2 linked regions of the Neodiprion lecontei genome follow. The protein of the gene in region 2 purifies or fractionates together with the protein of the main gene of each other region. This does not show direct contact. Links are inferred from orthologs where the notes say so. Each region holds a gene or a part of one and is shown on either strand. Other genes may lie near its edges.

The links. Proteins that work in one complex are often made in the same cells at the same time.
Region 1: the proteins of partner of Y14 and mago (region 2) and protein mago nashi homolog purify together in Drosophila melanogaster (affinity purification with western blotting; 4 studies listed by BioGRID, with this or other methods). This does not show direct contact. The link is inferred for Neodiprion lecontei from reciprocal best matches to the Drosophila melanogaster genes Pym and mago.

Annotation. Positions count from the first base shown.
Region 1 is NC_060261.1:3,555,539-3,559,230, reverse strand, and holds protein mago nashi homolog, read right to left. Parts: upstream 1,998-3,692; 5' UTR 1,845-1,997; coding exon 1,404-1,844; 3' UTR 914-1,403; downstream 1-913. Other genes in the region: transcription elongation factor SPT4, read left to right, coding at 2,920-2,988. UniProt on the Drosophila melanogaster protein: Core component of the splicing-dependent multiprotein exon junction complex (EJC) deposited at splice junctions on mRNAs. Involved in exon definition of genes containing long introns, including the rolled/MAPK gene.
Region 2 is NC_060261.1:39,573,523-39,577,816, forward strand, and holds partner of Y14 and mago, read left to right. Parts: upstream 1-2,289; 5' UTR 2,290-2,577; coding exon 2,578-2,608; intron 2,609-3,008; coding exon 3,009-3,105; intron 3,106-3,197; coding exon 3,198-3,708; 3' UTR 3,709-3,712; downstream 3,713-4,294. UniProt on the Drosophila melanogaster protein: Regulator of the exon junction complex (EJC), a multiprotein complex that associates immediately upstream of the exon-exon junction on mRNAs and serves as a positional landmark for the intron exon structure of genes and directs post-transcriptional processes in the cytoplasm such as mRNA export, nonsense-mediated mRNA decay (NMD) or translation.

The sequences.
Region 1 (3,692 bases), about 36 Mb from region 2:
CGTTGCAGATTAGACACTGTACTTCAGGTGATCTAAACCTCTCGTGTACTGCATCCGTAGCGACACGATCGTTCATGACGAATCTGGGCATTGAAAAACCATATATTAACAAAAAAAATAATTTCACGATATATTTTTAATAGTTATGGTAGATATTTCTCGCTTATTGGATTATTGGATTAGCCAACATACAAGAATAAGATTAAATTGAGATGCACAAATGTGGTGAAGCATGCTTTCAACTGTAGTGCACTGGGTCTTTTGGAATTACTATGAGGCATGTTTTTGCAAGCCACTGCTGTAGCAACCAAGGTATGCCAGAACAATTTTGAGTTTCACGTAACTACACTTTGGTTCATTTTGGTATCTATACCAGTGCCTCGCCAAAATATGCCTATATAGCCAAGTGTTTGATTCAATGGTTTGGTCATCCCGCCAAAAAAGATGGAAGACGGTAAGGCTCAGAACCAATTGAAAAATGAGGCATTCGAAGACTTTCACTTTATACTATAAAATAGCAAAAATATCAGCAAATTACATACTGCGTGCAATCGTTTAGCGTGAGATATTTGAACAATAAGCGTAATGTACAATCGATATGGGTGATTTGCGTACCTTCCACAATTTGACTAAACCCGGGAAATTTCAGATGAGCTCAAACACGCGAAAACACAGTCATTCACGAACTGTCACAGACTGACTCCGTGGGCCGTGAACACCACCTTACATGCCCTACGCCACGAACGCTATACAGACTAGACCGCACGCGACGAAGTGGGGGCCGGTGTGAGAGAGATAGTTGTGTTCTAAATTCCGGGCTACAAACATCAGTCCTGTGCATCGCACATCAATGTTTAAAGCCGTTGTGAGACTAACGAAGGGAAGAAAAGTACATATTAGAAATAAGAACATATAATTTGAAATTCTTTTATTCAATTCTCGGATATATTCCTGCCCAATTATCTTTATTTAAATATATGTGCGCGGCTCGATAATTAATTCCATTCCAATGTTTTAAATGGAATCACTATTTCATCTGAACAAAATTTATAAAAATAAAACCACGTTTAACTGTCGCTTGAAGCTTTCAAGCACCCCAACTGATACACTAGTCTTTTGCTCTGACGGTCAATATTTATATGCGAGAAAAATAATATGCAATGTCCAACATAACCTAACTTAGCAATAAACTTAAGCTGGATCTCAAGCACGGTTTAAGGATGTATTTTTTATAGTGATGGAATTGCTGTACGAAAGACTAAGTGCAGATTTATAGATGAAAACAAACATGAAGTTATCAACAGAATAATAAATACATTGTTTTCATTTTATTTGTATTACTCGTACACATAACCATCGAGACTGGCGGGGGAAAGGGGGGGATATACGATGATGGCAACCGTTTATATCGGTTTTATTTTGAAGTGGAGACCGATGAGCGAAAACACGAGGCACTTGAGGTCCTGGACGAGGTAATAGAAGCATCGTAGTCCTTCCGGATCCCTGGATTGATTGACGTCTAGTAGCGAACCAGTTTTAGATGTTGTGAATGAAATGTGTTCGTCTCCGATGACAATTTCCAATTCTTGTCGACCGACTCTGTCCGGTTGCGGCCATAGAGAATCATCCTCTTGCATTATTTCCGAATCCTGTATTATCCTCTTCAGTTCTTCCATAACGCAGTTGTGAACGTACGCTTCCTTGCGGATCATCGTGTCGTTTTTGTAGTTCGAATTGTTGGCGTACCTCAATTTTCCGTCTGGCCTGAATTCGAACTCGAGAAATTCGTGGCCGAATTTACCTTTGTGGCCTACGTAGTAGCGTATATAGAAATCTGTCGACATCTTCCTCTTTCCTCACTGACTTACTTTGCAATGTAATATAACCGCAAATTGCTTCACAACAAGTACGTGATCGATTAACTTCACAAAGCCAGTGTCGGACGCTAACCGCTCCTTTGCAATGCTGGAATGACACGATCAGCCTCGGAGCATAGAAATTTTAGATGGGCGATGGTTAGGTAGATTGGAAATTTGACGGTTCTCGGATTGGGTGAAAATGACGAATGTAGTGACTCACTCTGGGTATGTTCCGATATACACCGCGAGCACTGTTCAGTGCTCTTACTGGGGAGAAATTCGTTCCGTTATAGACTGACAGTATAGTCGCAGTATCCTAGGGAAATATATGACGTCATAAATTGTCGCCATTTTTCTGCTGTGAACACTGGTGTTTTCGAGGTAAGGTGCTCTCAGTGCTTTGATCACGTTATCAACAGCGTTCAGAAATTTAACAGCTTCCACTATTGATAATTATTATTATTGAATATTGTCATTTAAAAATACCGGCCGTTAAAAACAAAAATGGAAAATTTGAAGAAATTTTATCTATTGCAGTGTGAGACAAATATTATGTATGAAATGAAAGTAACGCCGAAAAATGTCGATCACAGTATACTGTACTGCGTTCCGTTTTAAACAGTAACCAGTATAGCTAACTATAAAGGAACGGCTTCGCAGTATACTAAATTGACGTCACACCTTACAGTGCTCGCAGTGTATAATACCCTCTATCATGGTCTTCCTAGAGAGTTTTTAGCACTGCCTACTGTATATGCTCTAACCCTGCCACCTAGTTTCGGAACGCACCATTGGAATGGAATAGCAAGCACAGGTTCCCGGTTTCAGTCATATACATATAGTTCAGTGTTTGGTTCAGTGTCGTTCAGTCAAGTTCAGTACTTCGTTCAGTGCAGTTCAGTACTTGGTTCAGTGCAGTTCAGTACTTGGTTCAGTGCAGTTCAGTTCTTTGTTGACGTTCACGAACGACCTGTCAGCGTCCATATTAAGCGTTCTGAAGTTAATTTATTAAAAAGAGATTAATTTAGTTCAACAAGTTAGAAGCAGCCGCAGATTAATCATGTCAATGGAGACTGTACCCAAAGATTTACGTGGATTGCGAGCATGTTTAGTCTGTTCACTGATTAAGGTAATGTTATCATCTCTTCCAAACATAACCAAACTTTGAGCCCAGTAAAAGCTATCCTATCTAGTCTATATATAATGGGTCTTTCTCTGTAAGTAGGCAACTCGCTGTCCCAGGCATTTTTATAACAAAAAGTTTTCAAGTAAACATTAAACAAAGTTATTTTTCGAAATATATAACAGTCATTTTTATGGATTTGATAACTTCGCCACCAAATTTCAATTAATTTATTTATTACAATTTTTGTAACACCTCGGAAAACAGTTTCCTGATGTGGCCCGAACTCAGTTTAGAGTTATAAGACAAAATATTTGCCGTTTGTTGCAATGTACCGAGATTTTTCTATAAGACGTTGGAAGTGTATTGTATAATGCATAATATTTTTTCATAATAATATTTTGATTTGATTTAGTTTTTGTCCTAATATGATTTAAAAAGTATCCCAAGGGTTCAAAAACAGTCCCTTGTAGCCGATTTAAAATATAATATAAAAATATTTACAAAAATGTACTATATTATATATATTTAATAGGCAAATCAATACCAATATTATAATACAAAACTAATGGTGTCTTTTCATTCGTTGCAATTTAAAAATGAACTTGACAGGAGACTGTTCAAATTCACCACCAAATTACAGAGAAAGACTCCTCTACCTTTTCAAATTTGCAAATTTCAATAATTATATAATCCATCTCACATTGAGT
Region 2 (4,294 bases):
TTACCGCTCAGTCCTTAACTATTTTCATTTTTTACCACAATCGAAAAATATAGTTCTAGGTAGAAAATGAAAATTAGTTTTCCAACTGTTAGCGGAAAGTCTAGTATTCGTTACTATTCATTCTCATTACGATCACCGTTGCTATATTTTCTTGCAACTGTTGCGAAAATTTAATGCTTGTGCAACAATAAATTGCTGTTAATGCCTTGTTTAGCTAAAAAATTAGAGTAAGCCTAACAAATTGATTTTGTGTTGCAATTACCAAAAAAGGATCGACAATAGCGCAAAATGGTTACGCGTACCTCGTTTTTCGTCATCCCAACGTCATTCAAACAGTTTTTTTTAACGATACCTGTTTTACTGAATTTCTCTAGTTTATATAGCAAATGAAATTTTTCTCAGTGTACGACAAATGGCACCATCGGAAAAGTAATTTTAATTGAGAGAGCGAAATTTCTCAAAATAGATCGAGCCTTGAAATCATCTAATATACATGTTTCAGCGTATCAATTATCATAGATGTGTTATTTTTTTTTCTTACACATACAGCGCATGGCACACTAATCTTCTGTGCATTGAAAACTGCCTAGCAATCTCACATTACAATTGTTCGGTCCTGCATACCCGAACGAACGTTTTTATAGTTTTATCGTAAGTTTAAGGTGAAGGTTCGGTACAATTGCTTGCTATGAGAAATACCTGTCCTAGAGGGTTCATGATTTTTTGTGCAGCTTGATTTGCATTCGCGAAGGACCCTCTACTATGGCCGAAAAAAAAAACCTATTACCATTTCACAAATTCTATCTTTTGACTCAATGAACATATCATCAAATTCATGCATCGTTTTTTAGATTGTAAGTTCTCATATGAATAAAAAAAAGGGAGCTCTAAGGAATAATCACCGGCTACGGCGTTTCGAATTTACGGTGCAAAATTTCGTTTTTGACGGTAAAAAAATCTTTTTCGTCGTCGTACCGAGTTGTGAATCTTTTTTCCTGCACAATTTCGCATAAAGAAAGTACTTCAAGAATGAAAAAAAAAATGCGACATTTTTTGTCAATTATTTATAATTCATTTACTTTATACATATGTTTCATCGAAAACCACTGTTCAAGGGACAGCAAAAATTATCGCGTTTCTCGTGAATGGAACAAAAATTTTTTTTTTAATTCACAGAAGATATGGCGATAAGTATTTTAGAAGAGTCCTGCGAGGTCTCATATTCTCAGAAAATATCATTGCCTTCCACGCGACATTGACCCTGACTCCGTGCCGATCCGGGCCTTCGCGTATTTTTTTCCATCCCTGGAGTACTTTTTTTTATACAAAATTGCGTATGAAAAAAGGTTCACAAACCGATGCGACGACGAAAAAGATTTTTTCACCGTCAAAAACGAAATTTTGCACGATTATTGCGCAGCGCTCCCGATTTAGTTATACCGTGCATACGAGAACTTGTAATATGAAATGTTACGCGTCGATTTCATGATATCTTCATTGAGTCAAAAGATAGAATTTGTGCAATGATCATAGATTAATTTTTTTATTTTTTGCAAATAAAGTTGCACAAAAAATCGTTAACCCTCTAGGACCGGTATTTCTCACAGCTATGAAGCGCACCGAAAACTCCCCTTAAAATTGTATCCAAAATAATGACTATTCTGGAAGGGAGTAATGACCCAGGCCACGTCACTCTGACCCTGCATTCCTGGACAGGAAATCGCATTTGGCGAGTCAATAACCGCGTTTCGGGACGACGTACCTGAAGACCATAATGACACCTTCTAGCAATTGTACAATCGTCGAAGCTTACCCCCAATTAACGCTGGCGCAGGTGTATCCGCATTTACGACACGCAGGTAGGCGCCACATGTACTACGTGCAGCAACCTTTCGGGGGAGGGCGGGGTCAAAGGAAATCGCAAGGGTCCTTTATTGTTCTATTTCCCACTTCGGACATACCTGCCCCTCCCTACCACTCGCGATGTGTCCAGCCTGTGGTATAAAAGTGCAGTTCGTCGTATGCAAAAATCAAATAGCAGAGAACCACCACGGAGTTCGCATCTTGCTGGTTCCTCGGTTGAATTTCCTCTGCAAACTCTAACAGTGAATTAGTCAGTGATAATTTCATCGATTCGATAACTTGCGAGTGTCCTGTGAACCGCGACGTGTGCAGTGTTGGATTCAAGTTGGCAAAGTGATCGCAAAGCCCCAACTGATAACTGATAAAAGTTGGATTATTTGATAACTGGCGAAAGGTGAATGAACAACTAGCTTGTGTACGGACAATTTCGTTGCATATAAGTTGCATATGCGTAAACGAATGTTACCTCGCTTGTGATTGTTTGAAATTTGTTCGCGCTTGTTTTCCGGCTATCCTAGCATTAGTTCGTGATTCAAACGAAGCTGGTAATACGCGAACGCCATCTGTGGTTGAAAACCAGACGCAGCAACGCTTGTTAAATCAAAGCGTTTGTGATCGTAGGGAAGAAAAGTGGAAAAATAGGGAATCGAGAACTATAGAACATTTCCTCGAATATACGTAAATTTGTGACTTAATTAGTATTTATAAGTGATAATGGCGTCAACGGACACGAAAAACGATCAAGGTATACTGAATTCTATCCTGTTTATCCATGATAAATCACCTTGAATCATATCTTTCTTTTTCTAACCTCAAACATTATAAACAATTATATATAGAATCATTCCGAACAACAATGTTTACAGCATTAATCGACGTGCTAAGCTCAGTTTTCACCTGTTTCACCTCAACCATCGAAATGATAGCACCATATTTGTTGTTACATATTAAATTTTATTCTTTTCGTTACTGTTATTGTTGGCATCATTCATTGTTTATTATTGTTCACGTTAAATTTGGCAACTAAGCTTAGCAGTTTGAATTTTGAATCTAATGAATCGATTGCTTACTTTGTTAAATAAATAGCCGTTGACCTTATATTTTTATTTACATGCCAACTATAGAGAAAGATTTCTTTGACGCAGGTGGATCATTCATTCCGGCAAGTCAGCGTCCGGATGGCACTTGGCGCAAACAGCGAAGAGTAAGGGACGGCTACATACCTCAAGAAGAGGTTCCACTGTAAGTATAAATACATTCGAATAGATAATCGAAGAAAAAATTATGGAAAATTTTTCATTCAATGTCAATGATTCATGTTTGTTGTACTTCAGCTACGAGAGTAAGGGCAGGCAATTCAGTAGAAATCGGCCTAGTTATCCTGTTGGAATGACCGCTGAGTTTGTGGCGGCCCACAAAGCAAGGAGAGAAGCCGAAGCAGCAAAGTCGGCGCAGATACCAGGTCTGGTAAAAGCAAACGATAACAAAAAGAAGAAAAAGAAGAGTAAGAGTAAAGCAGTCGACGCAGTGACGGAAGGTCTCTCTAAAACGACAATATCACCACCCGTTGTAGAGAATGGCAAATCGGCGAAGCCGAAATGCCAGAAAAAGCCGGTGACCAACGACACAAATGTTATTCCGACCCCAAGCAATAGCTTGCCCACTCAAAACACAGATCCAGCGAAAAGGCTCAAAAACTTGAAAAAAAAGTTAAGAGAGATTGAAACCATAGAGCAGAAGATAAAATCAGGAGAATTGAAAATTCTTGAGAGAGAATTGTACGACAAAGTCATGAGGAAAACAGAGGTTCTAAAAGATATTGAACAGCTGGAAGCAAACCACTAAACGGCTATCAAACTCCTATTTTATTATTATTATTGTTACTTTGAGTTTTTCTGCTTTTTACACTTGTCACCCTTTATCGGTACAAAATGTAATTGTGCCATTTAGGATAATTATTGATGTTTGCTGTTTTATTATATTAATATTGAGTGGAATTTCGAAATAATTATGATAATAGTAGGAATAATAATTATTGTTGTAACATAGTTTTCAAAACTATTCGTACTGTACAGTAAATTCTCTATCCTTGAAATGCACGTGATAATTATTTGAAAAATAACGATGTATAATCTAAATTAGTATGTTATATGATTTTTATTTAATGTATATGTATACATTTTTGGCTAAATGCTTACATGAGCATTTTAACGAATTATTGTAACAATCAACAAGTACAAGTACTTGATGTGCATAACTTTAACTGTATTAACCGAAGACCTGAAATTCATAAATTTATTATGAAATATCGATGATACTAAATGTTGAAGGAAATATAGAATAAAAATTATCATTTAAAAAATTCCCCGTAATGTTCAAGCTAGTGTAACAATAGATTAGATTAGAATACTCCCAAATTTTATTAGCAAAT